Notamacropus eugenii: one gene and its partners. The protein of the gene in region 3 binds, or shares a complex with, the protein of the main gene of each other region. Links are inferred from orthologs where the notes say so. Each region holds a gene or a part of one and is shown on either strand. Other genes may lie near its edges. The genes, in order: TAF6, TAF3 and TAF4.

What was found.
Region 1: TAF4 (region 3) and TAF6 share a complex: the UniProt entries of both Homo sapiens proteins name them as parts of the TFIID basal transcription factor complex. The link is inferred for Notamacropus eugenii from reciprocal best matches to the Homo sapiens genes TAF4 and TAF6.
Region 2: TAF4 (region 3) and TAF3 share a complex: the UniProt entries of both Homo sapiens proteins name them as parts of the TFIID basal transcription factor complex. The link is inferred for Notamacropus eugenii from reciprocal best matches to the Homo sapiens genes TAF4 and TAF3.

Annotation. Positions count from the first base shown.
Region 1 is NC_092873.1:80,655,925-80,666,641, reverse strand, and holds the start of TAF6 (transcription initiation factor TFIID subunit 6), read right to left. Parts: upstream 5,026-10,717; 5' UTR 4,867-5,025; coding exon 4,835-4,866; exon of another isoform or gene 4,750-4,834; coding exon of another isoform or gene 4,727-4,749; intron 831-4,726; coding exon 629-830; intron 455-628; coding exon 368-454; intron 195-367; coding exon 41-194; intron 1-40. Other genes in the region: CNPY4 (protein canopy homolog 4), read left to right, coding at 5,779-5,911, 9,601-9,727, 9,880-9,976, 10,295-10,417, 10,706-10,717. UniProt on the Homo sapiens protein: The TFIID basal transcription factor complex plays a major role in the initiation of RNA polymerase II (Pol II)-dependent transcription.
Region 2 is NC_092874.1:175,816,803-175,827,366, forward strand, and holds the start of TAF3 (transcription initiation factor TFIID subunit 3), read right to left. Parts: upstream 4,125-10,564; coding exon 3,959-4,124; intron 1-3,958. UniProt on the Homo sapiens protein: The TFIID basal transcription factor complex plays a major role in the initiation of RNA polymerase II (Pol II)-dependent transcription.
Region 3 is NC_092872.1:501,250,785-501,260,975, reverse strand, and holds the start of TAF4 (transcription initiation factor TFIID subunit 4), read right to left. Parts: upstream 4,032-10,191; 5' UTR 3,904-4,031; coding exon 3,600-3,903; intron 2,966-3,599; coding exon 1,841-2,965; intron 1-1,840. UniProt on the Homo sapiens protein: The TFIID basal transcription factor complex plays a major role in the initiation of RNA polymerase II (Pol II)-dependent transcription.

The DNA of each region.
Region 1 (10,717 bases), on a different chromosome or scaffold from region 3:
TCCTTATAATGCTTCTAAACATCTTCTACCCCTTTCCTACCTTTGAGGCAGACATCAAGTGGGACACGGGGCAGGGGAGTGTTAATGATGTCACTCAGATCAACCTCTTTCTCTTCATAGAAATAAAGTTCCCGGCCCCCACCTGAGGCAAACCGGAATGGGATGAATTCCTGGGCATGGAACCCATACAGAGGCTGAGGTAGAGAAGCAGATCAAAAAGAGAGACTTAGGATGAGACAGGGAAGGAGGGAAAACTGTAAAATTAAAGTAGTGGAGCTTTTTTGCCCCAAGTAACTTATTTTCCCATGTAACCTGGTTTCTCTACCACCACCTCCACCTCCCACACCCAACTCCTCGACCTGTGTACCTCAACATTCTTCAACTTCAGGGCATAGTCTATATCACTTGTTGTGAGCTTCTGTCGCTTCCCCATATGCATAAATTTCAGGGCATCCTATAGAAAGGAGAAAACCAGGGTCAGAGAAGAGAAGACAGCCAATTCAATGCAATATTTGGGAGTGGAAAATTTAAGGGTTCCAAATCATCAAGATTTGAGACTCAAGTTCAGTGTGTTAGGAAGGAAAAAACAAACAAAAACACACTTGGCTTCTGAGAAACCAAGGCTCACCTGTGCAATCTCCTTAATACGGTAGCTAACTTCATCTGTTAATAGCTGGCAGGTCTCTTCAGGCATTTGAGCAATGCCCATGGACTCTGCCACAACTTTCATTGACTCCGAGGGCAACACAGTGTTGCTTAACTTGAGTTTCTTTTCTTCTGCCATAGTGAAATATGGCACCACTCCCAATCTCCTCTCTAGAGGCAGTGTTCTACAAAAGAGATGGAGAAATTTAAATTGAGATTGGGGGAGGGGAGGAGGTGCAGAGACAAAGAGATAACCTTAGAATGGTGGGAAGAGACCCAAAGAATAAAGAGGAGAGAGACTGGTGATATGGCCTCAAGGTTGCAGGTTTTCCATCCCTGATTACAACTATATAAACTTACTAGCTAATCCATTAAGTTTCTCATCAGTATGGAGAGAGGTTGAACCTCTGAAGTGGTTTCCCCTTCTTAAGGCAATAGGACTTGTTCTTATACAAGATAAATAACCTGAGAGATAATAACCTGGTACCAGCCTAAGTCAGATGTGACCACCTACACACCAATAAATATTTACTGACTCCATAATCCATAACAAATCTCTCTCACCCTAACCTCCTAGTCTCACCTCCACCTTCAGTCGTCCATCCTTGCCTGGTCATCCTCATTCTCCTCCTTTTAAAACTAGACTACAGTGTTAAAAGTACTCCTATCAACCTTTGAATCAGTGCCCCCCACTGTTCTATTGCTGCTCAACTATTTCCAACATAATCTCTCAAGGAACTTACATTCCAATGAATCTATCCTACCTCCAAGTCCATGTTTGGATTAGGTCCTCCATATACTTAGGCTGAATAATTTTAACTGAGACATTATTGTACCACAGGGGGCAGCTAGGTGATGCAGTGGCTAGAGCACCAGTACAGGAGTCAGGAGGACCTGAGTTCAAATCTCACCTCAGACATTTGACACTCACTAGCTGTGTGACCTTGGGCAAGTCACTCAACCCCAACTGCCTCATCCTGGGTCATCTCCAGTCATCCTGATGAATAACTGGTCACTGGATTCAGATGGCTCTGGAGGAGGAAGTGAGGCTGGTGACCTGCACAGCCCTCCCGGACTCAAAACAAAGTCATGTCATTCAGGTCCTCCTGACTCCTGTACTGGTGCTCTATCCAGTGAACCACCTAGCTGCCCCTTGTGGTACAATAATGACCCAGTTAAAATTATTCAACCTAAGTACATGGAGGACCTGGTCCAAATCATTGGAAAGTCATGTCATCATTACACACACACACACACACACACACACACACACACACACACACACACACCCCAATCTTTTCAGTAGTCCCAGTATTTCACTTAAAAAATTAAATAAAAATTTAAATTAAAAAATTTTTAAAAGGAGGCTCTTCATCCTGAGCTTCTACCTAATAACCTTGATATCATCCCAAACACTCCTTTTCATATTTTGATATTTCTTTCCCTGGCACCGAGCACAGTACCTGGCATAGTTTCTTGCTGCTGTTTAGTCAATTTGCCCACATCCAAGTCTTCATGACCCCATTTGGGGTTTTCTTATATTTATGGAGGGTGGTGGGAGGCAATCAGGATGAGGTGATTAGGCCGGGCTCACAGTTACTAAGTGTGAAGTTTCTGAGGCCAGATGTGAACTTGGGTCCTTCTGACACCAGGGCTGGTTCTCTATCTACTGCACCACCTAGCTGCCCTTCGTTTGGGGTCTTCTTGACAAAGTTACTGGAGTGGTTTGCCATTTTTCTTTCCACCTCATTTTACAGATGAGGATGAGGCAGAAGAGGCAAACAGAGTTAAAGTGACTTGCCCAGAGGCAACATTTGAACTCAGATCCTCCTGACTCCAGGGCTGGCACTCAATACACTGTGCTAACCTATTTGCCCTTAACTGGCAGAGTAGGTGCTTAATAAATGCTTATAGAATTTAAATGAATTTACAAATAAGTTATTTTGTCTTCCCAGAGAAACTGTTTTTCCCCAATACATCTCCAATTATTTATGACACTCTGTCTTCTGAACCCCCACTCCCAAGAGTCCCCTACGAGTCAGCAACTTTTAGGAGTCCCCAACTCATAAAAATTTTAATATTTCCAACAGGTCCCTGCAACACATACAGCATTCCAAATGCAGTAGTCTGAACTGACCCTCCTTCACTTGGACAGGCAAATGAGTTTCTTAAAAAGGAAATCAAATCATTCCAAAAGAACCCCACCCAGGCTTTTAAGAAGGTGTTAACTTTTTAAGGTGGATTACTCAGGGTTCCTAGGCTGTCAGGAAAATCTTATTCCTATTTACCTGTAGTCCAATAAAGGATCTGTAGACAAGTTGTCCAGACTCATGCCTCAATAAGGCAAACATCCAGATCTGCTCTGTTCAAAAGTATCATTTTAAAAATTAACATGAATGTACTTCTACAATGTGCTCTACGTAGGCCAGAGGTGTCAAACATACCACTTTAAAATTAAATCAATATTTGGCCCACAGGGATACTTATATACAATTTAATCAACTGTTTCTATTTGAGTTTGACACTACTGCTCTAGGCAAATCAATATTCCAAGCAACCTGCATACTATTATGTTTCTGCTTTCACATTCTTAATGGATAGAGTAAGACAACAGATATCATTAGCACTAAACTTCTGTGTGGCTAAATTCTCATCTACAAATTGGGTCAGTTTCTTTGAAAGGAAACATAACAGAAAAATGATTGTACAATTACAACCTAAAACAAAAGAATATGATCTTTTTTCTCTTGCAATATTAGGGCATCCAAGAAAGATAGTCTCAGAATGTACAAGGGATCCAAATATAACCTGGACAAAGCCTCAATGAATAGCCCCTCCTTCAGGAGCTACCTTATCCCCAACTTGCACTTTAAGGTTGGTTCCTTGGAGGGATGACTGGCTATGTTGAGTCCAAAGAGTACACTACTCTGTGGCCTGGCACCCCAAGCTCACAACCCTAAACCCTAGCCCAGAAACTCTCACCAGTGGGCTTACAATTAGGTGAAAGCAAAGACATTTACTAAGCTGACATTGTAAAACCAAGTAGCTACAAAACACTTCCTACACACACAGGAAAACGCAGGTGAAAAGGTGGAAGGAAGAATTTATTAAGCTCCTACTACGCGTCAGGCATTGTGATTTACAAACGGTATCTTATTTGATTCTCCTATCCCTACTTCACAGCACAAGAAACAGACAAAAAGAGGTGACACAGGTAGTGTCTGAGCCTGTATTTGAACCACGATACCTCGTGGGAAAAGTGAGCAGAAACTGAGAGTCCACACAACTCATCCTTCAGCACAGCTGAGCACTTAGGTCCTTCCACCACTCTACCCACCGATGGGCTTGGCAGCTGCCCGGGAAAGGCAGCTCCACTCCTACCTTGAGTTTGCTCCTGACTGGGAACAGGAAGCTCCTCAATGAGCAGCTATTGTTTCTAGCACTGAATTTAGCTGAACACAGCTAAACAAGGCTAAGGTCTGCACTCTTTCAGAGAGTCCCTACCCTAGGACTCTCAGCTTTCCCAGGGGTGCTCTTTTGGGGCCTCTGCTGTGAGACCTACTGCCTCCCAGACTGGAGAACGGGGAGCAGGATCATTTCAACAAACCCAAAGCCTAAGGTTTAGCCTTTTCTTTCAACAACTCTTCCTATAAAAGGGCTGAGTCCCCTTAGCCAGACTTAACACCCACTTTAGGTGAATATCCCATATATTTCCCAAATGTTCAAACAATAACCATTTTTGCCCCATAATTAACCAACACCCCTACAGCTCAGGATTCCCTAGTTTTTAAAGTACATACTTTAAATCTCTTGGTGGTCTATAGCAAATAAGACAGGAAAAGGTACAAACGCAAGCTATGCCCCGGCTACTAGTTTCACACCTTTAGGGAGGGCAAATGAGCACACTCACTTGCATGCTCTGTCCGCAACACAAAACGGTCCGTCCAAATCCACTTTCTTTTTTGGAGCGCTATATGGTTATAATGACCACATCTAATCCCAAATTAGAAATGAGAAAATTCACCTCCCTCACTTTCTCACAAAGGTCATGAGTGGAAAAGAAGAAATTTAGAAATTCTACCTGAATGAGACACACTCTTCCATCGGATCTCTGGCTATTACCAAGACTTCCCCTGTGAATTTACTGCGTGTGGAACTCTCTCTGCCATCGATACTCTTATAAAGTTACCTAGGGCACTGGCCCAGGATCACAGCCAGCATTCTTCGTGGGCAGGACTTGAATACAGGTCTTCCTGCTTCCCGCCAGTTCTCTATCCACGGCGCCAGGATACAATTTTGCCAAAATTTTATTTTCCTCGTACCTGCCACAAGGGATGCCCGCTCCAACTCGCCAATTCTCCAAAAGGATCGCTCTCCCTCTCCACAACTCCTATAGAAAATTTAAAAATACCCCGGCTCCCCCTTCCCGCGCAGGCGCAGAAAGTCCCGGTAGTCAGCAGACTATCCTACGGGGAGCCTCCAGTAAGCTCTGGGGACGCTTTCCTCCCCTTATACCCACTTGCCGCTCACCTATCGAGCCCCTGAAGACATGCCTCCCGACGTCCGGCTCCCCCACCCGTGCTGTCTCCGGTTCCTCACCGGCTCCCAACAGCAGCTCGTGTGGCGCGAGCCACCATCTCAAACCTCTGCCTCTTCGGCGGGTCCTAGCAGTACCTTAGACTTCCTCACAGGTCCTGGCAGAGCCAGGTCAAAGACCCTTCAGCCCGCCGCCTCAACCCGGAAAAATCTTCCTCTGCCAACAGCTTCCACAAAAGGGTCTCTTCCACATTCCCATGGACAAAAGGAATATACTCCGCTCTCTGCCTTAGCCGCTTCCCCACTTCTTTTCGTCCTGCTTCGCCACATCTAGGACCTGGACGGTGACAAACAGTGCTGGCGCTTGCGCGGCGCCTGCGCAGTAGGTGAACCTAAGGGGGGGGGGGGGGAAGCGGAGGGGGGAGGAGTCCAAGCGCGTTCGCTCTGAGTCTGCGCGGTCCTTCACCCTCAGCTTGGTAAAGCGCGTACTCGCGACATGCCAGGCTGGATTTAAAGGGCCAGTTTACTTGCAACCTGGCTTTTTAAAAAATCGTTCCTTTGTCGTCGCTGTCCGAGGTTGGTGCTCGGTAGCTGAACATGGAACAGGGGTGGCAGCGACGACAGCTGCTGCTGTTTTGCTTCCTCCTGCTTGTATTGAAGAGCTGTTGTGGGAAGCCAAAGGAAAAAGAAGAGGAGGAGGAGGAGGAGCACCTACCCAGCAAATGCGAAGGTACCCTGGGCATCCACCGAGGATGCGCCCTGTGCTCCCGGGCCAGCTCGGATGGGCTCTGAGACAGGGAGGGGCACGACGTTTGTAGAGGGAAAAGCGGGGGCGGGATGGAGACTGATCCTCGCTGTGTGGCCCCTGGCAAAGCGCTTCTCCTCTCTGAGCTTGTTTACCCATCCGCAAAATGGGCACGGTCCGCATGCCGCCTATGGAGCCGCGTGGCTGGTATTCCCCTTCCCGTCACTGCCGGACTCTGGGAATTAGGGGGATTGGACCTGGGGGGGAATGTAGGCTCCGTCACTTGCTGACCAGAGCCCCTTAGGGTTCCCTTGCGCCCTCCTCTCCTTACCTGTAAAATGGTGATGGTAAAGGTCGTATTACCTTGTCCGGGCTGTTGTGAGGCTAAGTAGACATAAAGGACTTGGTCAACTAAAGCTCTAAATAAATACTGACACTGCTTTGTTGTTCAGTCGTGACCCTATTTAGGGTTTTCTTGACAAAGATACTGGAGTGGTTTGCCATTTTCTTCTCCACCTCATTTTACAGATGAGAAAACTGAGGCAAACAGGGTTGAATGACTTCCCCAGGGTCGCACAGCCTGGCGCAAGTGGTCCCTGTGGTCCTTAGGTTCATGAACAGGGAAATTCGCCACTCCAGCCTCCAGCTTCCACCGAAACCCAGTTCTAGTGTCTTATTGGAGCAGTGATGGATTTTTGAAGGCTATGCAGGTGGAATTTAAAATGTAGGAAGCTCTACCAAACCAGAAAGGCTTCAAGTTGTTGTATTTGCCTTTTCTTCTCAGAGGGAGATGATGACATGACTTGCAGTTGACTTTGATTTGAGTGAGGGAGGGCTGTGCAAGGTCAGCAGCCTCACTTTGTCCTCCAGAGCCATCTGTCCATCCAGAGGACTGGAGGTGGCCCAGGATGCAATGAGAGACACTGGCCTTTTTAGGCTAAAGTCTTTTCAGATTCTCAAAAAACAAAAGAAAACCAAACTGGGAGGGGAAGACCCTTGGGATTCCTGGCCAAAAGAGAAACAGTTTCTATTTACTATTTACATTCACTTTGAGCTAGGAGGAGGGGGACTTGTTGTCCAAAGGCTTCAATCACATCCAGGAAAGAACTCTTAGCCTTTCATCAAAGGACCAGCCCAGATAAATTGGGAGAAGTTTATTACCAGGTTGGCCCAGTAATGATTTTTTACAACCCAGCAACTCATAAAGATCAACTACTGAGGTACAAAGGGGTTGTGTTCTGCTTTGATAAAGGGAGTATTTCCCACCTGGACAAAATCACAGTTTTTTCAAATGTAAAACTCTGGTGCCTCTGAGCCCATGCCTTAAAACTGATATAAACTGTAATTCAGGCCTACCAAGCTGAAAGTGGGGTTTAAAGAATCATATTAGAGCTGGAAAGGACCTTAGAAATCTTTTAATTCGCATGGCAGCAGTTGTGAACACCCTGCCCTGTCCCACCCCAGCTTGGAAGCTTCCAAATTAAAGGAGCCTTGGAAGGAGAAGGTGATTCAGCCACTCCTTGATGCCCATAAACTAGCAAGGAAGAACAAAGGTAGTTGTCATGTTGCCTAACTGGGGAATGTTTGGGAAGGATACTCCCAAACAGTTTTGGACTGTGCAGAAGTTGTGAGCACTAAGGACTTCATCCCGTACTGATTTGCCTGTGGCTACACAGCTAGCATCTTTTTCCCTGATGAACTCAGTGTTACTGATGTAATACATTGTTTCAGAAGATCTCATTTCATAAGTGTGGCCCTTCACTTTATGCAAAAGGCAACCCACTCCCCCCAACACACCCCTTTAATCAGTGGTCTTCATAAGAAGTTATGGGGGGGAGGGGGAATACTTCTCCTGATAGTCAACATTATGGCCTCTTCTCACTTAGGCTAGTTCTTGGATAACAAACTTATATCATCTGTTACCAAGGCTGTACTTTACCAGCATGGTCTTCAAGAGCCCAGAACCACCATGAAGCTTCAGAGTAGGATGCTAAAGGTATTACTGATATTAATAATAATAAGTAGCATTTATATGGTGTTACTATTTACAAAGTGCTTTACAAATATCTCATTTTATCCTTACAACAGATTTGGGAGGTGATATTTTACAAATTAGGAAACTGAGACAGACAGAGGCTAAGTGACTTGGATGAGGTCACACAGCCAGTAAGTATCTGACACTGAATTTGAACTTGAATCTGTCTTGATTCCATGTCCTATGTTCTCCTCACTATACTAGCCAGTCACTCAAATAGTATAAGTGGAGTGAAAACAGTATAGTAAAACCAATATTTCTTTTGCCTATATCACAGGATCAAACGAGATCATATTTGTGAAGCACTTAGCACAGTGTCTGGCACCTAATAGGCAGTATGTAAATGTTTATTCCCTTCCCTTTATAACATGCATTCCAGGGATAGGGAATAACTGAATCAGTAAAAGCTTGAAAGTACATGTTGTCTATCTTCCATTTTATTACCCTCTCCCCAGACCTGGAATATATTCCCTCCTCACCGTTGCCTCTTGAGGCATTCTGGCTCAGAGCCACTCTCTTTACAACATTCCCTTATCCCCCAGGTGCTAGCGCCCACCCCCATCTAGTTGTTTATTTTACTGTATGTATTTATTCTTCTGCATACCTTTGTAGGCTCCTTGGGGACAGAAACTATTTTGCTTTTTATCTTTGTATTTCCAGCACCTAGCACAGTACCTGGTAGGCTTTTAATAATGCTAAATAGTGATGGTCAGAGTCCTGTAGTTGTACCCAGGATGGATTGAAGAGAGAAGAGAGAAGAGACATTAAAGCCAATAACGAAGGTATTGCAATAGTCCAAGTGGGTGAGAATGAGACTTTGTGGCATCAGTAAGAATAAAATAGATGGACTGGATTCGAGAGATATCCCAGAGGTAGGAGTTAAAGGACCTGGTGACTGATTGGATGGGAAAAGAGGAAGTTATGAACATAGATGGCCAGGTGAATGGTGGTGCCGTGGATGGAAATGGTGATGTCAGAAGAAAGAGCAGAGTTGAGGAGAAAGATAATCAGTCTTTGTGAAGCATATCTTATGTGGAGTTATAGGTAAGGATTTACCTATAATTTGGGGATGGGCTAAGAAGAGGATAAGAAGAAAGGTCTCAGGTATCAGTATATGGTAATACTTCTAGGTACCCTAGGATAGGGTGAATGCCAATCGATGTCTAATAACTGACTCCCCTGCTCTTCCTTATCCTTCCCACCTTTTAGTTTATACAAACCATCTTCAGGGACTGATACATTTTTTGAATTGGAATGGACCTTAGTGAACTTCTTTCCAACTCTCTGTTTCACTAGGAAGCGTAGGCCCAGGCAAGTAAAATGATTGGCTCAAGGTCACATGACTAATTACTAATATTAATAATCATAACTGATATTTTGTAGAACACTTTAAATTTTGAAGTGGATACTGCAGATAGTATTAGCCCTAGTTTACAGAGGAGGAAACTGAGACTGAGTGGATGCCCAGCCACATAATTAGTATGTGAGATGGAATTTGAACCTATATTTTCCTTACTACCAGCACGTTGTCTATCACACCAGGCTGCCCAGAACTAAAACCTGAGTGTCTTGCCCCCAAGTGCACTGGGCTATGTATCTTGTTTTAACATACTTCTGGCAATTGTTTTCTCCTCGATAGTCTGTAAGATACTGAGCTTGGAGCTTCAGGAGGAGCTGAATCGGAGCAGTCGGTCTCGGGAGTTGCTAGAACTAGGGCAGGTGCTAGACACTGGCAAGAGGAAGAGACAAGTTCCCTACAGCACTTCGTGAGTCTCCCTTGACTTTCTTTCTGTCATGGTACCTCTAATGCTTCATCCCTTCCATAACCCTATAAATCATTCCCTAACTTCCTTCAGCCCCACAGTTCTCAATGAGTTATCTGTTCTTTCTCATTGTCTCCCATCTCTTTCTCCCACAGAGAGATTCGGCTGGAAGAGGCCCTTGAGAACTTATGTGAACAGATTCTGGATTACAGTGTCCATGCTGAGCGCAAGGGCTCCCTAAGATATGCCAAGGTAAAATAAATCTTCTCCCCCCTGTTTGCCTTTTAATGGAACAAACCACCATGGTGGTCCCTCTGCTCAGAGGTATTTCTTTGTTCTTACTCCTCCTAGAATCCTTTGTCAAGACCTCTGCCCCTGGGATGTCCCATGCCCTCTCCATTCTGTCTCAGCCCTTGTTCTGCTGTGGGTACTCCATTTCCACCCTCAGGTTCAATGAAAAGATCTTAGTGTAGTGGGGATGAGGAGGGAAGAGGTCAGAGAAATAGAGACAAAGGGGGCTGACCCTGCCAGAGTTCTCTTTCCTCCCTCTTACATCTCCCCTCACCCCAGGGTCAGAGTGAGACCATGGCAACCCTGAAAGGCCTGGTACAGAAGGGTGTGAAGGTGGATCTGGGAATCCCTTTGGAGCTGTGGGATGAACCCAGTGTGGAAGTTGCATTCCTCAAGAAGCAGGTAAGAAGATGTCATATGCCAGAAAGATGAGATGAGCTGGGACAGAGAGTAAGGTATGGACTCAAGGAACACAATAAGACAGTAAATGCAGATCATGGGGACAGCCAGGGACTGGGGCATAGACAGGCTGGACCCGTATCCTAGAAGAGGGTGTTGGGGGAAGGAAGAGGGTAGGCAGAGGAAATTAGAGGGAATGAATTTGAATTTCTGAGAATTCTTCACCTAGGAGAAGAAATTGTGTCTGCCATCTTCCTTCCTTCTCCTTTCCTATTCTTCCCTCCCTCTCAGTGTGAGCTGATG
Region 2 (10,564 bases), on a different chromosome or scaffold from region 3:
AAAGTTCATAACAGTACCAATTGCAAAATTTCGTTGCGACCTCATTAAATTTAATATATTTTTTAAAAAACCACATAACAGAAGCTTAGTTTTATATAGAATCCTCTTTTTGTTCTTTTATATTGAAACATTTGTTTCTATCTATGATTAGATTCATAATAAAAAAGAAAAATTTTTTAAATGACATAAAAAGTCTCAGTGAAGGAATATACCACAGGCTCAGTTTGATATAAAAGACTGCCAAGTATGATGGAGAGTAAGGGTCAAAGGTTACTGCTTAACAAAAATGAAATGAGTACTTAAATACTTAACAAAAAATGAGCAATTTGTCAAATTTAATTGAACTAGGAGATCCACATGAATACATGCATGCATAAATATGTATATATCTAGGTAAACCACATATACATGATAGATACGTGTGTCTATACATAAGTAATAACCTTTCTGAGTCTCAATTTCCTCATCTGTAAAATGTGAGAACTTCACCACACAGTCTCTGAGGTCCTTACCTAACCTGCCCTTTCACTAACCTCATGCCTTTCACTCTCTGGTCCAGGCAGGGGAGTTGGAATGCTCCTTACTTCCCAGTGCCACTACCATGTTCTTCCTCTACCATCCATTATTCAATAACCTTTCCTCCTTTGAGCATGACCAATCTACATTTATCACCCTGTAGCTGTTATCTACCAACCTCCACTGCATTCTCTTCTTCTCTACAATTTCAGTGCCTGGCTCACAATCTTTCTCACCTCCCCAATTCTTGCCCTTATACAAAGGGACTTCAACATACATACTGATACTTCCTCAAATACCTAAACCTACCAGAGTTCCTCAACTCACTCATTTCCCATGACCTACTCCCTCCACCACACCCCTCAATTACACACAGATGGTTATACCCTTGATGTTACCATTACCCACAAGTATTCTTCTTACACATTCCCCATCTGATCAGTCTATTGTTATTCTTCTTGTCCTGTGGCCTTAAAACCCCAAACTCCATTCTTCATCCTTACCATGGCATCCAATCCTTCAACCCTTTAGTTATTTACCAGGCCACCACTGCTGCACTAGCAACACTCAGGAGAGTTCCCTTCCCAATGATGAGTCCTTGGTGAACCAGTTCAACTCTATTCGAAAGTCTCTAAAGTCCCTTATCCTCTTGTCACCATCAATCTTGCGCTGCTAACCCTCAGCCTAGATTACTCCTACCATCCACTGTCTTTGTTCCTATTCACATGCTGCACAATGAAGCCACACAAAAAATCACGAAACCATGCTGACTGGGTCCACTACAGATCTGTTACATAATCTCAATTGGGCCCTGACTCTGGCAAAGAAATCCATTCATACCTCCCTAAACCATTCATTATCCCACAGCACTTTTTCCAAACCTTTATATCCTTCTTAAAACTTCCCAAGGCTCCCCCAGTCCCACCCTCTCCAGAGAACTTTGCCTCACATTTCACTGAAAAAACTGAGGCCCTTTACTAAGTGCTCCCTCTTCTCCCCTCTTCCTCATCTCACATCATTCACATGCTTTTCTGACAAAATTTACTCCTTTTCATTGACTCACATGAAGAGGCAGTCCTCCCTGCCAAGGCAAACCTCTCTATATCCACAGGTGATCCCCCTGCATCCTTTCTTCTCCTGCGGAGTATCCTCTCTATCATACCTATATTCTCACTAATCTTCAGTCTCTCCTTGTCTACTGACTACATCCCTACTAACAATAAATAAGCCCATACCTCCCCTAACCTCAAAAAACCCTCACTGGAGCCGTCGATCCCCACTAGCTAATGTCCCATATCTCTCTTCCGTTTTGAGGTTAAACTCCTTGAAAAGGTCATCTACAATAGTTGCTTCCATTTCCTTTCTCCCCACTCTCTTCTCACCTTTCTAAAAGTCTGGCTCAAGTCTGTTTTCCAACATCATAATTCAACTGAATCCGCTCTCTCCAAAGTTAGCAATCATTTCTTAATTAGCAAATCTAAAGGTCTTCTCTTAATCCTCATTCTTCTTGAAGGCTCTACAGTCGCTGACATTGTCTATCACAGTCTTCTTGACATTTTCTTACCTCTAGGTTTTCATGACAATCATCTGTCCTGATTCTCCTCCAACCTTTCTGAGCTTCTTAGTCTCCTTTTGCTACATCTATGACCAGTTCACACCTGCCAACTCTGTGTCCCCCCACCCCAATACTCTGTCTTGATCCCTCTTTTTTTCTTTCTACACAATTCAGTTTGATGATCTCATCCATCCCCATGGATTCAAGAATCATCTCTGATCAGATCAACTTATTCAGTCTTAAGTTCTTTCCAAACTTTAACTCTCCAATCTCTAAAGTGTCCAGCTGTCTTAATGGATATATCAAAGTGGATATCTTGTATACATATTAAACATAATATGTCCAAAACTGAACTCATTATTTTCTTCTCCCCCAAGAGCTACTCTCTTCTTAACTTCCCTGTTGTTGCCAAGGACACACACAGACACAGACACACACACAGATGCAGACACGCAGACACACACACACACACACACACACACACACACACACACACACTGCTGCAATACACTACTGGTCAATCTCTTTGCTTCAGGTTTTTCTCTACTCCAATCCATGCTTAACTCAGCTGTCAAATTGATCTTCCTTTTAAAAACACAGCTCTGATCACATTATCCCTTCTCCTATTCAATAAACTCTAAAGGCTCCCTACTGCCTTCAGGTTGAAATAATAAAAAACTGTTTGTCTTACATAACCTGACTCCTTCTACCTTTCTAACACCATCTTTGATTCTGTGACACTGGCCTCCTGGCTCTGCCCTGGATACTACTCATCTCTCAATTCCAAACATTTTCACTGGCTGCCCCCTCCCACCCCCCAAGGCCTGCAACTTCTCCCTCTTTATCTCACTGGTTTCTTTCAAGTCTCTTTCCCAGTCTTAGGGCCTTTCCTCAGAAGTTACCCCCAATTTATCCTGTATATAATTTGTTTGTATATACTTCTTTTCACGTTGTCTCTCTCGTTAGACTGTGAGTTTCTGAGAGCAGGGATGATCTAATGTACTTGGCATAGCAGTCATCTTATATAAATCCAAGCTGACTAACTAAAGTACCTGAGTACCTGGCCACCGTAATGACTTAGTAATTGCTAGTTGACTGACGAAAGTAACATCAAAAGTTATAGTAGTGAGTTGTCAGGAGTTTAAGGTGCCACAAAAAGCTATTTCTCAGTATTTTTTCAGGCTAATTTTGACAGCAAAAGGCCCCGTAGCACGTATTTAATAACAATTGTTAACTTATGCCAGAAACAAAAGACTAGAGTTAGATATGAACTTAATGACAACACTTGAAGAATGAGCTGCACCATACTTTGGAGGCCCCTGATAAACTTACCTTGATCTACACCCTAAGAACCACCAGAAGAAAGGAAGGTAAAAAAACCCTCCTCGTTGGATGAAGATAAACACGTCAGACAGAGGCTAAGGCATGGAGGGAGAGGGGCAAGCTCCACAGACCTAGCGTGCACGCAGCAACGTGTCCGTGAAAGGAGGAGAAAAGGGAAGGAAGTGGCAGTGCTGGTCAAGACCCTGCCCAACAGCCCGTCCGCAGACGGGGCGCCGGGGACAAGCGCCGGTCCGGGGGCAAAGGGCTCGCCCGAGGGGCGGCCTTGGAAGGGTCGGGGCGCCGAGGAAGGTCAGGAAAGAACACTAAGGGGCGCATCTGCGGCGGGCAGCGGGCGGTCGGGACGTCCGGGGGATGCCGGCGGAAAGTCGGCAAGCTAAGAGGGATGCCCCCTCCCCTGAGCCGAAGAAATGTTCCGGGGGAACAGGCCGGGAAGAGCGCGGGGGATGAGATTCAGGGGTCGGAGGTCAGCCCGGGAGAAGAGCGGAGTCGTGGGCAGAGGGCAAGGGTCAGCGGCCACCCTCCCGCCCCGGCCCCTCGACTCACACAGCTCCGAGTAGCGGTGGCAGCCCCGGCCCAGCTGCTGCAGGTACCGCTGTAGGACGTCCGTGAGGAGGTGGCAGGCGCTGAGCTGCACCGAGTCCCAGCCCAGCGCCTGGCAGATCTGCGCCACCGACACCCGCAGCAGCGACCGCGAGTAGCTCTCGCACATCCCGCTCCACGGACTCCCGCGCCGCCTCCGTCCTCGCCCGCCGCCCTCCTCCCCGTCGTGCTTCCGGCTTCAGCGGGCCTCCTGGGCCATCGTCCGGGACTCCCCTCCACAGCCACCACGCAGGGGAAACCGTTTCCCGGACTCCCGGCGTCTAGTTCAGAGCCTCCGCTCCGCCGGGCGCGCCAGCCTGAGAGCAGCCATTTTGGATTCGCCCCGCCTCCGTTTGGGGGCGGTCTCTCCGACGAGGCAGCACTAAACTGTTGCCGAAAGCATCGATAAGTAGCAGTTCCCACCCCGCCCTCGGCCCCATGGATGATTCCGGCGGTCGCCCTGGTCCCATGGCCTGCCGGGGCGGACACTCACATGGACTTGGAGCTTCGCGATTCGTCCGGCTCTTCCCTCCGCGCTGCCGCCCTGCTGGGGGCCACAATAAAGTCTCTCCTGGCCATTTTCTAACCTCGGATCCCCACCCACGCTTTCTGTTGGGGCAAATGCAGGGGAGGGGAGGGAAGGGACTTTGCGCTCGGCCAGAGAACCCACGTAAGGACGCGGCTGCCCGGGAGGTCCGAGGCTGCCTCCGAGGCTCGGGTCCGAGCATCCCTCCCAGCAGTTACGGGACGGAGATGGTGGTGTGCGCCCTCGGCGTGTCAGATAAGCGTGTGTTTATGAAGCTGCTGTTCGGGGCAGTTAGTTTTCTCCAGTTAGCAAACATCTCACGCGCACACGTGCCCTCCAACCTTCCCGGTCTTCGTTACACCATAGCCTCCAGTAACGCAGGTCTCCCGGCTCCATCTCCAGGGTCTGAGCGTTGTTTTTCCGGCTGTCGCCCGTGCCTGGAAAGCTCTTTTCCCTTCCTCCTCTCTGCCAGCTGGCTTCTGGCTTTTAGGTCCCCTTGCCGCAGGAATCCTTCCCCAGCTCCTCCTAATTCCAGCGCCTGCCCTCTTTCAGTGACAGGCATGCCTCGCGTTATGGAGCTTTGCTTCATTGAACTTCGCTGGGTACTACGTTTTTGACAAAGTGAAGGTCTATGACAACCTTTCCTCTCTCAGCACCAGGGTTTTCAACAGCGCCCGCTCCTATGTATTATCTGTGTGTTACATTTTGGTAACTTCATTACTGTTATTATGATACCTGTTAGGGTGATCTGCGATCAGTAATCTTTGGTGTTACTCTTGTAATTGTTTGGATACACCACGAATACTGGATGGATAAATGTTGCCTGTGCTCTGACCGCCCTCTCTCTCTTTTCTGGGGCCTCCATTCCCGGAGATACTACAGTACTGAAGAATATTACATAAACGTAGCTGATAAAGCAGCTGAGGATTGGCTACAATTTTGAAAGAAGTTCTACTGTGGATAAAATGCTATCAAACAAGCATCATGTGCTATCGAGAAACCGTTGGGGAAAGAATCAACTGGTGTAGCCAACTTCATCATTGTCTTATTTTAAGAAATTGCCACCCCAGTCTTCAACAACCACCACTCGGATCAGTCAGCATCCATCTACAGGAAAAAGATTAAGACTCACTGAAGGCTCAAGTGATGGTTAGGATTTTGCAGCAATGAAGTATTTTTAATTAAGGTGTGTACATTTTTTACACATAATACTATTGCACAATTAATAGACTACAGTAAAGTGTAAACATGACTTTTTATTGTGATGGTCTGGTACCAAACCGTCAATATCTCTCAGAGATATGCCTGTATTTCCTATTTATCCTGTATATAGCCCCTTACATACATGTTTTACATGTTATCTTCCCCCATTAGATTGTAAACTTCTTGAAGGGAGTCTCTGCTTGGTGCCCCAAGACAAATTTCCAAGACCATACATTACAAATGAGTTATGGATCTACATTAAGGTGATGAAATCACCAATCTGAACAATTCCATACTCAACTCACAATCACTCAGTCCTACAAGCATTTATTTTAGCACTTACTTTGTGACTGGTCATTTAGTTCAGTGCTGGGAATTTAAATATAAGCAAAAATAAAGACCCTCTTCTCAAAGAGTTAACATTCTAATGGAGGTAGGGTAGGCTACACATAAAACCAAGCTGAAAACTTGAAAAAAATGTGGAAGGGGAGCCAAATTGAGCCAGGCTTGGGCAGCCTCCTTCCACAGAGATTCTGGGAAGAGCCAAGCAATCTGAAGGTGAGGCCCACAGGGACTGAGGACACTTAGGAGGTGTAAATTCCAGGGCTGAAATGAAGAAGGGTTTGCAGCCACTTTAGAAATGGAGGTGTAAAAACATCCCTCTTTCATTAAGACTGGCAAATTTTCAGGATGTTAGGGGCAAGTAACAAAGACAGATTTAAGGGTCCATTCAGATTGCATTTACACCTAGTAAAAGATGAGCTCCTTCCAGCTGGGAGTGAATCATTTTGTACCTTATAAGTATGTAAAGCTTGGAGTTAGGTTTAGGCATATCTAGTAAAACCAGTGAGGCTTTGAGTAGATAATTTGCATATGAAAAGGTCAGTAAAGCAGATGAGCAAGACCATAGGACTGCCAGTTTCTTTTTCTTATCTACTCATTTGCATGGACCAATAAGAGAGATATAGAGGTTTAAAAAACTGAGGACCCCTGAACCTCAGAGTTCCTTGGTGATTATTGGACAAATGGACATTGTCTGTTTATGCCCTGGCTTTTAGAGATGAAGATTTGGAAAATATACTGAATCTATCTGCTGCCTTTGACACTGTTGACCCCCCCTCTCCTGACGGTTCCCTCCTCTGGATTTTCGAAGCACTGCTCTTTTTGTTTCCCCCCTTCTCACTAGCCTTTGCTGGTTCATTATCTGCCCTCAGCCATCTTCTCTATATTCTCTCTATATAATCAGTCATTATCATCTCTGCAGATGACTCACAGATCTATACTGTATATCTAGTCCTGGTCTTTCCCCTGAACTTGAGTCCTGCATCATTAATTGCCCATGAGACATTTCAAACCAGATATCCCAGAGACATCTTAAACTCAACATGCAAACCTAGACTCATTATCTTTCCTAAAAAACCTCCACCCTTCTTTCAAATTTCCTAATTTCTGTAAAAATTACGACCATCCTTCCAGTCTCACACATTTGAAATCTTGAAATTATCCTGGATTCCTATCATTTCCTTGCCCTACATATCCAATTCATTGCCAGATCTACTGTTGATTAATCCAATCCCTTCTCTTCATTCACACAAGAACTTTAATTCTGGCCTTCATCACTTCTCCAAGATTATTGCAAAAGCTTCCTAATGTGTCTCCCTGCCTCAAGTGTCTTACCACTCCTGTACATCCTACAAACCGCTGCCAAAGTAATTTTCCTAAGTGCATATCTGACCATGTCATTCCCTTATTCAGTCAAGTGATCAATCAGTGACTTCTTATTGCCTATAGGATAAAATGTAAACTCTTCTCTTTAGCTTTTAAAGACTTTATACCTCCTAGTCCCAGCCTGTCTTTATGATCTCACTGGACATTGCTGCCCTTACTATACAGTTTGATTCAGCCAAAGTCGGCTTCTTTCTCTTACAAATGACACTCCATCTCCCATCTGGGATTATTTACACTGGATACATACAGCATGCCTGGAATTTCACTTCTTCCCCTTCACCTCCTAGAATGCTTCTCATCCTTTTCAATGTAGCTCAAGTACCATCTTCTGATTGAAGCCTTTCCTGATTACCCCAACTGTGAGTACCCTTCCTTATAAACTATCTTATGTAGGAATATGTGTGCTGCCCATGTAGGTTATATGTATTCCACATGGATTTTTTTAAACGCTCCTTGCAGGGAGCTGTGAAGACCTATCTCTGGACTCTCAACCACCTCTCTTCAAAGGAAACTTTGATTCTTATCTGGAGGAGAGCAGAAAATTGGTGGCACGTTCATGACTCACTCTGCTCTTCTCAGAGAGGGGATTGAAGTAGACTTATCTAACTGCCTTCCTAAATATTACTTTTGTTGTTCAGTTGTGTCTAATTCTTCATGACCCCATTTGAGATTTTTCTTGACAAAGTGGTTTGCGATGTCCTTCTCCAGATCATTTTACAAATAGTGAAACTGGTACAAACAGGGTTAAGTGACTTGCCCAGGGCCAGTAAGTGTCTGAGACCAGATTCAAACTCAGGGACATGAGTCTTCCTAACTCAAGGTCCAGCATTCTGTATACTGTGCCACCTAGCTACCTCAAATATTGTTAGTCTAGAGGAAATGATTGTTCAAGTAACTCTTCTAATAGATATCCCTTAATGGGAAAGGAATGCTCCAAACTATGTCTAAAAGCTTGACTCCCTTTCCACCAAATGATAAACAGTGGCCATCATGATAGTATGTGGCAAATAGAACCCATTTGTCAAAGCCAATAGCAAACAGAAATCAGAGAAGTCATATAGGTTAGAATATCCTGGACAATATGCAGATTATATATCCTTTCCCACTGAGAGTGGTATCTGCACTGAGAGAGAGTCCCCAATCTCATCCAAGAGGAAACTCTCCAAAGGCTGTAGCATAGGAAACTGGGAATCTAGGGCATATGGAGGCACCAGCTTTTCTACACGTTGCCTTCTTCCCAAAGTCTTTCCCTTCAAGGTCCTCTCCCAGAAAAGAGCCTGGACTAGACAACCTTTAAGATCCCTAGCTATGCAGAGGCAGCTGGGTAGTGCAATGGATAGAGTGCTGGGCCTGAAATCAGAAAGAATTGAGTTTAAATCCAGTCTCAGACACTAGCTGTATTACCCTGGGCAAGTCACTTTGCCTCTATCTGTTTCCTCACTTGTAATATGGGGATAATAATAATGGAACCTACCTCCCACAGGTGTTGTGAGGGCCAAATGAGACAATATTTGTAAGGTGATTAGCACAGTGCCTGGCTAATAGATGCTTGTTTCCTGTTTCCTTCCTTTAAGGTCTAAACTTGTCATTTTAAATCATCCCTTCTTTAGGAAGTTATTTATGCTCACTTTCACAAACTGAGAAGCCAAGAGATCTGAGGAAGAGTTTGATAAGAGCAAAGTCACAGTGCTTCAGCTATTAAGCTTCCTTTGCTAAGACATTAATTATAAAACACAGTGACTTATGAGAGATCTGATGAATGATGCTTTCACAAGCACCTAATTATAAATTTATCATCTATAATAACAATGTTCAAATTCTTCAATCCACAGACCATATAAGGCAGTTTAGTTGAAGGGTTTGGAGTGAAGACATCTGGATTTGCTTCCCAGTGTGGTATAGTTAAAACAGACTTGGATTTGCAATCAGAAGACTTACTACTTTCTTATGTGAGAAAATCATCCCACCCTTTTAATACTCAGTTTACTCATCTGTAAGGTGGGAAGACTGGATTAGATTATCTCTATGGCATATTCTAGCTTTGGCATTCTAACTAGGGCAAATCTTCCATGTGAGATCACACACTTTGACCCTCATTTTGTGCCGCAGAAGAGAGAAGAGGAAGCAGTGTAGAGGCTGGGGAAAGGGAAAGAAGAAGGAATAAAATTAATAGAACCTCTGTCAGTATAAATTCTTTCAATTGAAATTTTCTTTTTAAAACTTTTACATAAAAATCTTTTGTTTTTCTATCACTTTCATGTCCAAATATAACCTTCACTCCCCTCTCCCCAGGTAGTCATTCTCTGTAATAAAGAGTTTGAAATGAAAGAGGAAAACAAGCAGTTCAGCAAAATAAATCAACAAGCATTTATTAAGTACCAGCTGTAACTTCTTTCCCATCCTCTAGCTTCACATTTCCAACTAACCTTTAGACATCTTAAACTCAATATGTCCAAAACTGAATTCATGGTCTTACCTTACAAACCTCCTTTTCCTGACTTCCTTTTACGTCAAAGATACTACCACCATTCTCCCAGTTACCTAAACTTGGGACCCATTTCCACCTTTGTAATATCTCTTGGATGCCCCCTTTTCTCCCCTAACACCACCACCATCCTAATTAAAGTCCCCCTGCTTCAAGTTTCTCCCCACCACAATCCATCCTCCATTGAGCTCTCAAATTTATCTTCCTAAAAACACAAATCTGACAAATCTGGAGTAGACTCCAGTAGCTCCCTATCATTCCTGTATCAAAAATAATTTCCTCTGTTTGGCCGTCATAATCCCTTCCTAACCTGATCCCTCTCTACCATTCCAGTCTTCATACACTTTACTCCCCTCCATGTATTCTTTGATCATGTGACACTGGCCTCCTTGCTCTTCCTGGAACATGACACCCCATCTCCAAAATCCAGGCGTTTTTACTGGCTGTTCCCAAAGGCTTAGAACACTGTACCTCTTCATCTCTGAGTCTTGGTTCCCTTCAAGTCTCAGCTAAGGTCCTACCTTCTATAAGAAGTCTTTCCAAGGACTCCTTCATATTAGTTTCTTCCCTCTGATGGTCTTCTTGGACAAGGAAGAATGAACACACACACACCTTCCCTCTGAGGTTA
Region 3 (10,191 bases):
ATATGGGAAAAGTACTTAAACAGGCAGGTCTTTTGTATGGCAATCTTTTAGGAAAATGGGTATACATAAAAGGTTATGGCAAACTTTACAAACTATGTTATGTTCCACAGATTAAAATTAAACAAAAATATACTTGCTATTAGATAATTAGGGAGAAAAACTAAGGCTAATTACTCTGGAATACCCCCAGATGTCTATTGTAATCACCAGCACAAAATGTCAATACCCTTTCTTTGGGGTTTTTTATTATGCCAAAGCTAAGTTCAAAGAAAGAAGAAAAACTTTGTTGTTTTTTTTTTTTAAGTGGCTTTGGAACTACCCCCAGGATTTCACCAATAAAAAAAGACCCCTGTCTGAAGTTTTACAAATCACTGGTTCTTAACCTCAAAATGATTACACAGGGAAACCTTTCAGTTCATTGATACAGAAATTGTTTTGAAGCAGCCACTCATTATTTTTAGAAAATACTATGGGACATGTGAAGTACCAAGTTTTCATGACTGATTTTACTACTACTACTACACATACAATTACTACATACTAAGGGATTAGATTTAAGGGAAAATGTTTTTAACTCATAAAATAACCATATTAGATTAAAAATACTACCTCTAGGCAAAATCAAAACCAGGAAATATTTCAGGTGAGGTCTTTTGTATGCCTAAGGATTCTGAAAAAATGTCAGAATGTTATATACAATTCACAGTGTTTTTCTGTCTGACTTTAAGAACCATAAAATAATATTGCATAACTGACTGACAGAAAGACACTCATAAAACTACTACAAATATTAAAGCATTTCTGAAATAAAAACATCATTCTATAGATGTCCTAGATAGTAGTTTCATAATATATTACTTTTACTACCCTAAGACCCACTAAAATGAATGACATATACAAACCATTGATTTCATTAGGCAGTAATAGTAAAATTTAATTAGGTGTTTTTTGTGCAGTAACAATAATGCACTGAAAAATATTAAGAACATTGAGAATATTGAAAAAATACTTAAAGTACAATTTAGGATTAGAATGTTAACCCTGAATGATGTGATCCTTGTAGACTCATTTTTATGAGTCAGTTTAGACTCAGTTCACTTAAAAACTGTAATATCATTCTGATATCTAAATACTTTTTTAAAGTATACCCTGAAAAGAGTAAAAGCTTTCAAAGACTTAATCAAGCAGCCCTAAAAACAGGGAGTGTAGTGTGTCATTCTATCTTTCTGTCACCTTTGGAAACCAGGTCCACATACTCCCCTATCTGAGGAACTCCTCTAACAATTGATGACAAACACAAAAATTATATGTGGTGAGGTAAAGACTCATCATACCTGACTGCAGAAACTACTAATGGGCAAGGCTACATCTAGAACTCTAATTTTTTAAAAAAAATTGAAATCCAAGATTGTTTTAATGTACATTCGCATAGCGAAGTAATTTTTCTCCTGTGACATACCTGCTGCTGTAGAGCAAGTAGCCTGCTTCCTCTGGCAGCAGGGGCGTACAGGGGCAGAGGTTAAGCAAAAGTCAAAGATGCAATGAAGAAGATTAAATAGGAATATGCATCAGCAGAACACCATGATGTTATGGGTGGGAAGATCTGAACACAGACTTAAAATGCAAATACAAAGATTTAAGCAGTACAAAAGTCTGTAAAGCAGGTCTACTTAGCATGTCCCAGTCACAAGAACCAGCATAACACACTTCTCATAAAACTGGCAAAAAAGGTAAATGGCCTTACCATTTTAAATGAGAACAAGAACTTCCTATGACTTATAACTAAAGTATCTGGATCATTTGCCTTTCACCACAATAAATACTTCAATGCTTTTCTTACCTGGGGGTAGCTGAAAATTTTGAATATTTGTAGGATTCTGAGGTGGCTGAGGCAGACGGGGTGCTAAAACTGTAGGAGTCAATGTTGCTCGGATACCACCTGTAGTAGCTGTTGGAGTCCTTGGCAGACTTTGTGCCACTGTGTTGGCAGTGCCTTTAGCCATCCCTGTAGGGGTCCCAGGAGCTGGAGGAGGAGGTGGTATCCCACTAGGATTGGGGATGCCACCTTGCATAGTTTGCCCAATGATCATGTTACCCCCTGCGGTGGACTGGCCACTGGTTGTCAACGTTTGCTGCTGAGGCACTGCCTGCACTATAGTTTTAGGGGACTCTGATTTGATGACCTGTGTGGTGGCTGTGGCTGGCATGTTGGAGCCAGGTTGGCTGTTCACAAGGGATGCCTGAAGGGAAACTCCAGAACCCACAGTAGCTACAGAAGCAGCAGCAGTAGCAGGCAAACTCCCCACACTGATAGTTGAATTGATCACAGTATTGCTCCCATTCTGGGTGGCTGCAGCCACAGAAGCCGCAGCAGGTCCTGCTGTGTGAATTGGTGGCCTCACTAGTGCCACGGTAGGTCCCGCACTTCCAATGCTGGAGGAGGAGATAACGGTGGGTGAGGAAGAGGAGGACACAGCAGTGCTGAGGAAAGAAGAAGTCTGGATGACAGTGTTAGAAGAAGCTGAAGGCAAAACAGCATTGACAGCATTTCCCTTCCCCAGCGGCAACACCACAGATCCTGGTCCGTTGTTGACGAGGGTGACAGCAGGTGCAGCAGCAGCAGCAGCAGTCGGAGTCCCAGCAAAGGCAACAGCACTTCCTGAATGGTGAGAGTTCATCACGACGTTACTCCCATTCAAAGTTTGCACCGTGGCGGTGGTACCGATCTTGCCGTTTCTGGAGGACAAGGCGGTTGCCATGGTGCTGCTGATGACCACCGATTTGCCCTGACTGATGGCAGCAGCCCCTGGAGCAGCAGCAGCAGCTTCGGAGCCTGCTGTGGAGCTGCTGGTGCTGGTGCTGCTGCTGCTGGTGGAGGTGGACGAGGAGGTTCCATCCAGCAGAGCTGAACCCTGGGACCGGGTCGTGTTGTGATTAATAACACCCCCTTGCACTCCTCCGGCCCCTGCAACAACAACAACAACAAGGAGAGAATAAAATAAAAAAGAGAGAGCGGGGGAGGGGGAGGAGGTCTGGGGGGCATTACTTCAGCCAAGACGTGCTAAGATATTAACGGGAGACACAAATTGGCGAGTGAGAAAAATCGAGGGAGCAAAACATCAGTTCTGGAGGGGTCCCCCTTCGGAACTGAGCGCTCTCCCTGTCCCCCAGTTACTGATACCCCCCACACCTGAGGTGTCAGAACCTTGTGCTCGGGATGTCAGCTCCTCCAGACCCCATCCCCGTCCGCCCCCTGGGATGGCTGGACCACCCTGGGGAAGGGGGGTCCCCTCTCCCTTCCCTCTACCCCACCAGGGTCCCCTCGCTGTAGCCAGGGAGGGGTCTTGGACCCCCCATCCCTTGCCCCTCTGCCTCCTTATCCCCCATGCACCCGCCCACGGAGGGTCCGGGGCTCCCCCGGGCCCGGGTAGCCCCTTCACGCCGGGTGCCCCCGGGAGGGTGTCAGGCCCCCCTCTGGGGAGGGGGGTCGGCAGGGCTGAGGGGGATCGGCCCTGGCTCCCCTCTCTCGCTCCCTCTCGGCTCCCTCTCCCCCGGCCCGGACCCGCCGCCCCCGCCGCCCCCCGCCGCCGCCGCTCTACCTGCTTTTGTGATCTCCTGGGCCAGTCCCATTTTGCTGCTCTCCGTCTGGACATTAGCACCGGCGGCGGCGGCGGCGGCGGCTCCTACTACTCCGGCTCCTCCAGGGCTGCCGCTCACAACATGGTTCCCCAGCCCCCCGGCGCCTCCGGCCCGGATCTCGGGCGTCCTGTGAGGGTGATGGTGGTGATGGGCCGTGCTGGCCGCCAGCTGGGACTCCAGAGAGCCCACCATGTCGCTCACCACTTTCTCGTCCACCTCGCTGTTGAAGAAAACCTCATCCAGCAGATCCGAACCCGCCGCCATCTTTTTTTACTCCGCCGCTTTGGCTAATAGCGACTGGGTGAGGAGGAGGGCTGTGTGGGGAAGGGAGGGGGGAGGGGGAGGGGAGCCGGGGACGGGGAGGGGAGGAGGGCCGCCAGGGAGGAGGGAGGCGGGGAGGTTCCTCCGCGCCCGCCGCGCAAGCGCGCCACGGCGGCGCGTCACCGCGGCCCCGGGATTCCAGCCCGTCCTGATTGGCTGCCCGGCGCGCTTAAAAGCGACGGCAAATGGCTGCGAGCGTTATTGAAGAGTGGAGAGGGGAAGCAGTCGGGAGACCGAAGGGCGGGGGGAGGGGAAAGAGTGTGGAGGGTGGGTGGGGAGGGAGGCGGCGACGACCTCGGCTATGGTGGTGGCTGGGGGGAGGGGCGGATGCGGAGCCTTTGCCGCTGGCGGCGGCGGCGGTAGCTCGATGCCCGGGGAGCGGTGAAGGCGGCCCCGGGGCTTGGCTGCGGAGGGGTTGGAGCGGAGCGCCGCAGCCGGACCGGGCGGGGGAGGAAGACGAGATGGGGCGGGGTGGAGGAGTTGGTGTGGGGCGGCGGCGGCGACAGGCGGTGGTTCACTCTTTGTCTTTGCTTGCTCCAAAATGGCTGCGGGTTGAGTGTGGCTGGAGCGAGCGAGGGGTGAAGGGCGCCACCGCCCCGCACCTGTGCCGTCGCCGCCGCTTGCCAGCTGCGTGTAACTGAGACACCCCCGCCCAGCCCGAGCTCAAGGAGGAGGGAGGGAAGGAAGGCGGGGGAGCGGGGACGGGGATGGGGGGGATGGGGGACGAGGAGAACGGCGGTTGAGGCCGCACACCCCGAAGCCAACCGCCATTTCACCCCGCGCGCTCGGCGCAGCTTCCCTCGCCTCTTGTCGCCGCCACCCCCGGAGCCCCTGCTCGGGTCGCCGTCGGACGCCCTCCTGAATAAACAGGGCTGCGCTGTGGGAAGAAGCGTCTGGGGGAGGAGAGAAGAAAGTGGGGCGGGGGAGGCTGTGGGCTGCGCCTCGGCCTCGTCACTCGAGTCGGAAAAGGAGGCAGTTGTTGGGTTGTTTTGGGGGGGACGCCGCCGCCTGCTCGGGACCTCGGGGCTGCTGGCGTGGAGGCAAGAAGGGGGTGTCTCTCACTCTCTCCCTTCCACTCACGGGTGTCCTCGCCCCCCTCGGCGCTGCCGACAACTCCCCACCCCCTTCTCGTCACTGACCCCCACGGAGTCTGCAAACCACCCCCCCACCCCGCTCCTCCTCGCCCGCCCCCCAAACACACACACCCCTTTCCCTTCCTCGGAAGGGGAAACACCCTCAAGAGGTGGAGAGATTTGGGGGGAGGCGGGGGGAGTCCTTTTCGGAAGAGTCATCCCGGCTGCACCGCCTCCCGGCTTGTTTGTGTGGGGCTCCCCCGCGCCGGGCTGAGGAGGAGCCTAAGCCTGGAGCAGGTTGAAGGAAGGAGGGAGAGATGGGGGGGGGGGGCACCGAGGCATCGCAGCAGAGCCTGGGCGGCCCTGGGAGGCTTGGCTGCGTCGGGGAGAAGACTAGACTTGGCACAGGCGACAATGCCTTTCCTCCCGCGTTCCAGAGGAAGTGGGGTGGGGGTGAGGGGAGATGTTCCCGGCCAGCCGGGGGTCCCACAGTGGCGCATCCTCGGGGCGGGAAGGATGCGGAAAGAGGCTCTGAGAAGGCAGCGAAGGGAAATGAATGTACCTGACGGGGGAGCAGGCCAAACTTGAACTGTCTTCGGGTTAACTTGATCGGAAGTGACATCTGAAAGGATCATAAAGCCTGACTCCCCGATCCCCAGGGGGTTACTGTAGGTTGGTTTTCAGTCCTTTTTTACTTATCTCGGCACGCAGGAAAACTGTAAACACAGGTTTACGAGCGTCGTCCCGCATGTGTGCCTCCTGCGCATCCTCATGCGGAAGGGATAATTCAGGGTGATTTCCTCACTTTAAAAACGCAGGTAATTACTGAGTAGAGTAAGGAGCCTGCCACCTAGATTATGTCACTTATTTACATACCGCCTCACCCTCCTGTGTATTAATGGAGACCCATGATGGAGAAAGAAAACCTTTTTAACCTTGGCCTGTCATCTCCCTCCACCACAGACCTGTGAACAAGCTGCTTAATAGAATGAGTTGTACTTTATTCCCTTACCTCTTGGTGGAGATGCGACTAGCAACCGGAAATGCAGGGGAGAAACGAGGTGGAAAAGTCATCTCTAAGTGAATAATATAACCTTAAATAATCACCTTGATTACTCCTCTAAAAAAAAGTCGGAATCCTGACGAACTCCAAAAGCATGAGATCTTCCATCTTAGGATGACAAAGTAGCGTAGAAGGAAACAATGGTGATTACATGGTAACCTCTAGTTTCATTAAACTACAATGGGAGGAATGTGTCCTGCTTCTGGGGCTAAAGAGGGGCTGTGGGCAGGCAAGCTGTGTGGGTGGTAGTTTCTTTTTGTCTAAATATGGAAGGTCAAATAGTGGCTACACTCTTCCTGTGGAGGAACCTTAGTTTTTAAATGAATGGTGGTAGCTCTAAAGAGTTAGCTGTGCATTTGCTGTTCCTTGCTCAGTGTTACTGTAATAGAGTTTCTTAGAACTAGAATTATAAGTGTTTTAGTGCTTTGTTGGGGGTGGAGAAAAGTTGGTAAAAATGTTATTTCCTTTGTTTAAAATGTGGTAATCCCCCCCCCAAAAAAAAACCAAACACAAATACTTTATATTCTAGAGTGAGTGGTTTCATTGCTTGAGCTGTTGTGTGGAATTAGTAACTGTTTGGGTCTTACATTGATTGCTACCCTGAATGCGGACACTTGAAGTATCAGACATCTCTATCCAAGGGTTCATAGAGATTCTAGATAAATTCCCTACCCTCTTATCGTTGTTCTTGATTTATTTTGTCTCATCTACCAAGTATGTATTTATGCATGCATTTCCAAAGTAAAATGGGTTTCTCTAAAATTTATGAAGACTTGTGCTAGTCTTCCTGCCTTTCCTTATTTATGCCTGGGGAAAGTCTGGGAGGCCCTGCTTTTATTGGAATTACTTGTCTATCCTTTAAATTCCAACTAAAATATCAACACCTCCATGGAGGATTGTAGCAACCCTTGTAAACTACATGACTTTTTACTTTGCATTTCATTAATGCACTTGTGTAATATGGTGTATTATGGAGATTTTTGTTTGGTTCTTGCACTTCTACAGAACTACAGGCTCCATTGAGGCATACATTTCCTACTTAAATTTTATCTCTTCCAGTGCCTTACTGGTGCACAGCACTGTGTTTAAATAAATACAGGTAAATTAAATTGAAAGGTTATTGGTGGGAATTGGAAATGGGTTTTAGAAGGACCTATATGGTCAAGGAGAGTCACTAACCCAAAGGTTTTGGAGGATTTTTGAAAGGATTTCTCCTGAGCCCTGGAGTGCTAAATTTAAAATATCTTTAAGTGCTTTAACCTTTCAATACCAGGAATGCTCAGTACTATGATCATGCCAAGATACAGCCCTGATATGCATACTAATTATATCTAATAGTTTTCTTCTACCTGACAAAACGCAACTTGAGTAAATCTTTGCCCTTTCCCTTATTTTTCAGTTAATAAAATTGATCCAATGAACCTTTATATAGCACTTCGTCCTAATGGTGTTGTTGTCAAGCTTTCTTTGCCAGGTTCCAAATGTGGCATCATCAACTATGATATTATACATTTGAATATGTTATCAGGCAAAAAACAAAATCATTCACATACAAGGAAAAGAACATTGGACTCATAAGTTTGCACTAAAAGCAAATTATCTAAATCAACTTCAATATATTTTAAGCACCTCCCTGCTAGGTAGGCCCCATAAGAGGTGCTCTTGGGGAGGGTGGAAGGTGGGAAAGTTGTTTCTTTGTATTTACAATAATCAAGGATGTGGAATTATTGTAAAATGAACTTGTTAATGGGACTTGGTACTTTCTTTTTTCAAGAAACACTAGTAGACCAAGTTCCTATGGCTTGGAAATTGCCTCAGTCTACTTTTCTTTGGCAATGTGGTCTCCTCAAGTCTAAATCAGTAAGATGAACAAGAATACAAATCTAAATTGTGTGTGCATACACATCAAATGTATCTAAATAGATATGTGATGCAGAAAATTATTTTTTAAAAATAAATTGGTTTGCATAAGAAAGATTCAGTTATCCACCCAAGACAATATCTTTTCTGGAACTTAAATCATATTCCTAAATTTAATAAGGAAAAAAATCAGATAAAACAAAAGAAAATATAAAGGACCTTTACCAATATCCATGAACAGCTATAAACATTTGACATCACTAAGCAATTGTTTGTGCTTCATTTTTGAAGAGGATCAATGACATCGTGGGTCATGACTTGTGCAGGAATTGGATTTAAATGAGGCAGAGTTGCACAAAGTCATCAACCTCACTCTCTCTTCCTGAGTCATATTAGTCCAGTGGCAAGACAAAAGTCAAGATGACTGGTGATGGTCCAGGCAGGATAACAGTAAATAAGCAACCTTCATGGTCATTGGAACAAATTGTTTTTATCCATACATTCCAGGAGGGAAAGTCTTCACATGCTTGGAATAGACATCCCCCTAACTCATCAGGTTTGAGGCCTGTCAGTTATCCTCAATCTGGTTTAGCCCTTGTGTAGGGACAGGTATGACTGCTGGTCACCCTATGGCTTCTTGGAGTCACAGGTGAGAGTTGGGTAAGTCACGTGGACACCAAAGGTAGATGAGCAGCCCTGGAAAAGGCTTTGCAGGCCCTCATGCCAGAGGTGCTCATTCTCCCTGAACACCCCATTAGATAAAGTAGGGAAAGATGAGAATTTTTTTAGGAAAAAAGGCAGCTATATTTGGAGATTTTCCTGTAGTAAATAAGTTCCTTAGGGAGACAAAACTAATAAACCAAATTTGTGATAAATGAAATATTACATGAGAATGACTTTACATTGTGAAATAACAGGTCAAGTTAGGGCAGTTTCCTAAACAACCTAATATGAGGCCATTAGTGCCTTATTCAGAAGACTAGTCAACTTTTTAAGATACTTCTCTACCTAACAGACTAGATCTTGGCCTCAATATACCTTACAAATAGAAATCAAATCAATCACAAACTTTGTTTCGTAAAAATTGGGATAACATTTGCCATTCTGTCTTACAACATATCTCCCATTTTCAATCTATCAAATATTATTGACATTGACTTGGCAATCGTATCAGTCACATCTTTTAGTAGCTAAAGATTATATCTCATCTGGGTCAGTTGATATGAACTCAAAAGCAAGTACAAGCACTCTTACTCTCTCCTTAACTATCTTGGATATCAACTTAGAGTTCAGTCAGACATTAAAGATACCAAGGTCATCCACTTCATTCTGGGCCACAACCAAGTCATCTTGACTTTTTTCAACTGGAATTTCAATAACTAGAAGAAAGGATGAGGTTGATGACTTTGTGCAATGCCCCTTTTACCCCTCCAAATATTTATTTGTCTTTGTGTCTTGAGATCTTCCTTCTCTCCTAGACTAATTTTCCCTGAAGAATTGTAGCCCAAAAGATCTTACCTTCTTCTGAATGCCTTAAAATCTGTTCTTCTGAAATCTAAAGTGTAAGACAGAACAATTATATTTTGGCTTTCCTCTTTTCTATCACAAACTCTTGAAGGAATTGATCTTTTTCTTATAAGGTTCCCATCATTTCCACTCTAGCAACTAGTCCCTCCCTGTTAATAAGAATCAAATCTAAATAGAATTTCTCTTGTTGGTTATACAACCTCAGTGGTTCTCAAACATTTTGGTCTTAGAACCCTTTAATAATTATTACAGGTTTCCAAAAGAATTTTTATATGAGTTATATCTATTGGTATTTACCATATTAGAAATGAAAATGCCTTAGTATAATTGTAAAAATGATTTTAACCTTGTGGACCTCCTGACAGCATCTCTGAGACCTGTAGGAGTCCTCAGACTATGTTTTAAGAACTGCTGCTCTACCTTTTGAAGGACAAAATTATTAAAAAAAACAAGGAATAATTAATTGTGCTTTTGGCAGAAGAGCTGGAGGCAATGTTTGTCCTGTAAATCAGCAAGACCTGAATTCAAATTTACCCTCAAACATTTATTAGCTGTGTGATCCTAAGTAAGTCACTACATAACCTCTATTTGCTTTAGTTTCATCAGCTATAAAATAAGGATAATAACAGCACTTACCTTCCGGGATTGCTGTGAGGATCAAATGAAATAGCATTCATAAAAAGCTGCTTGGCACAATGTGTGGCTCGT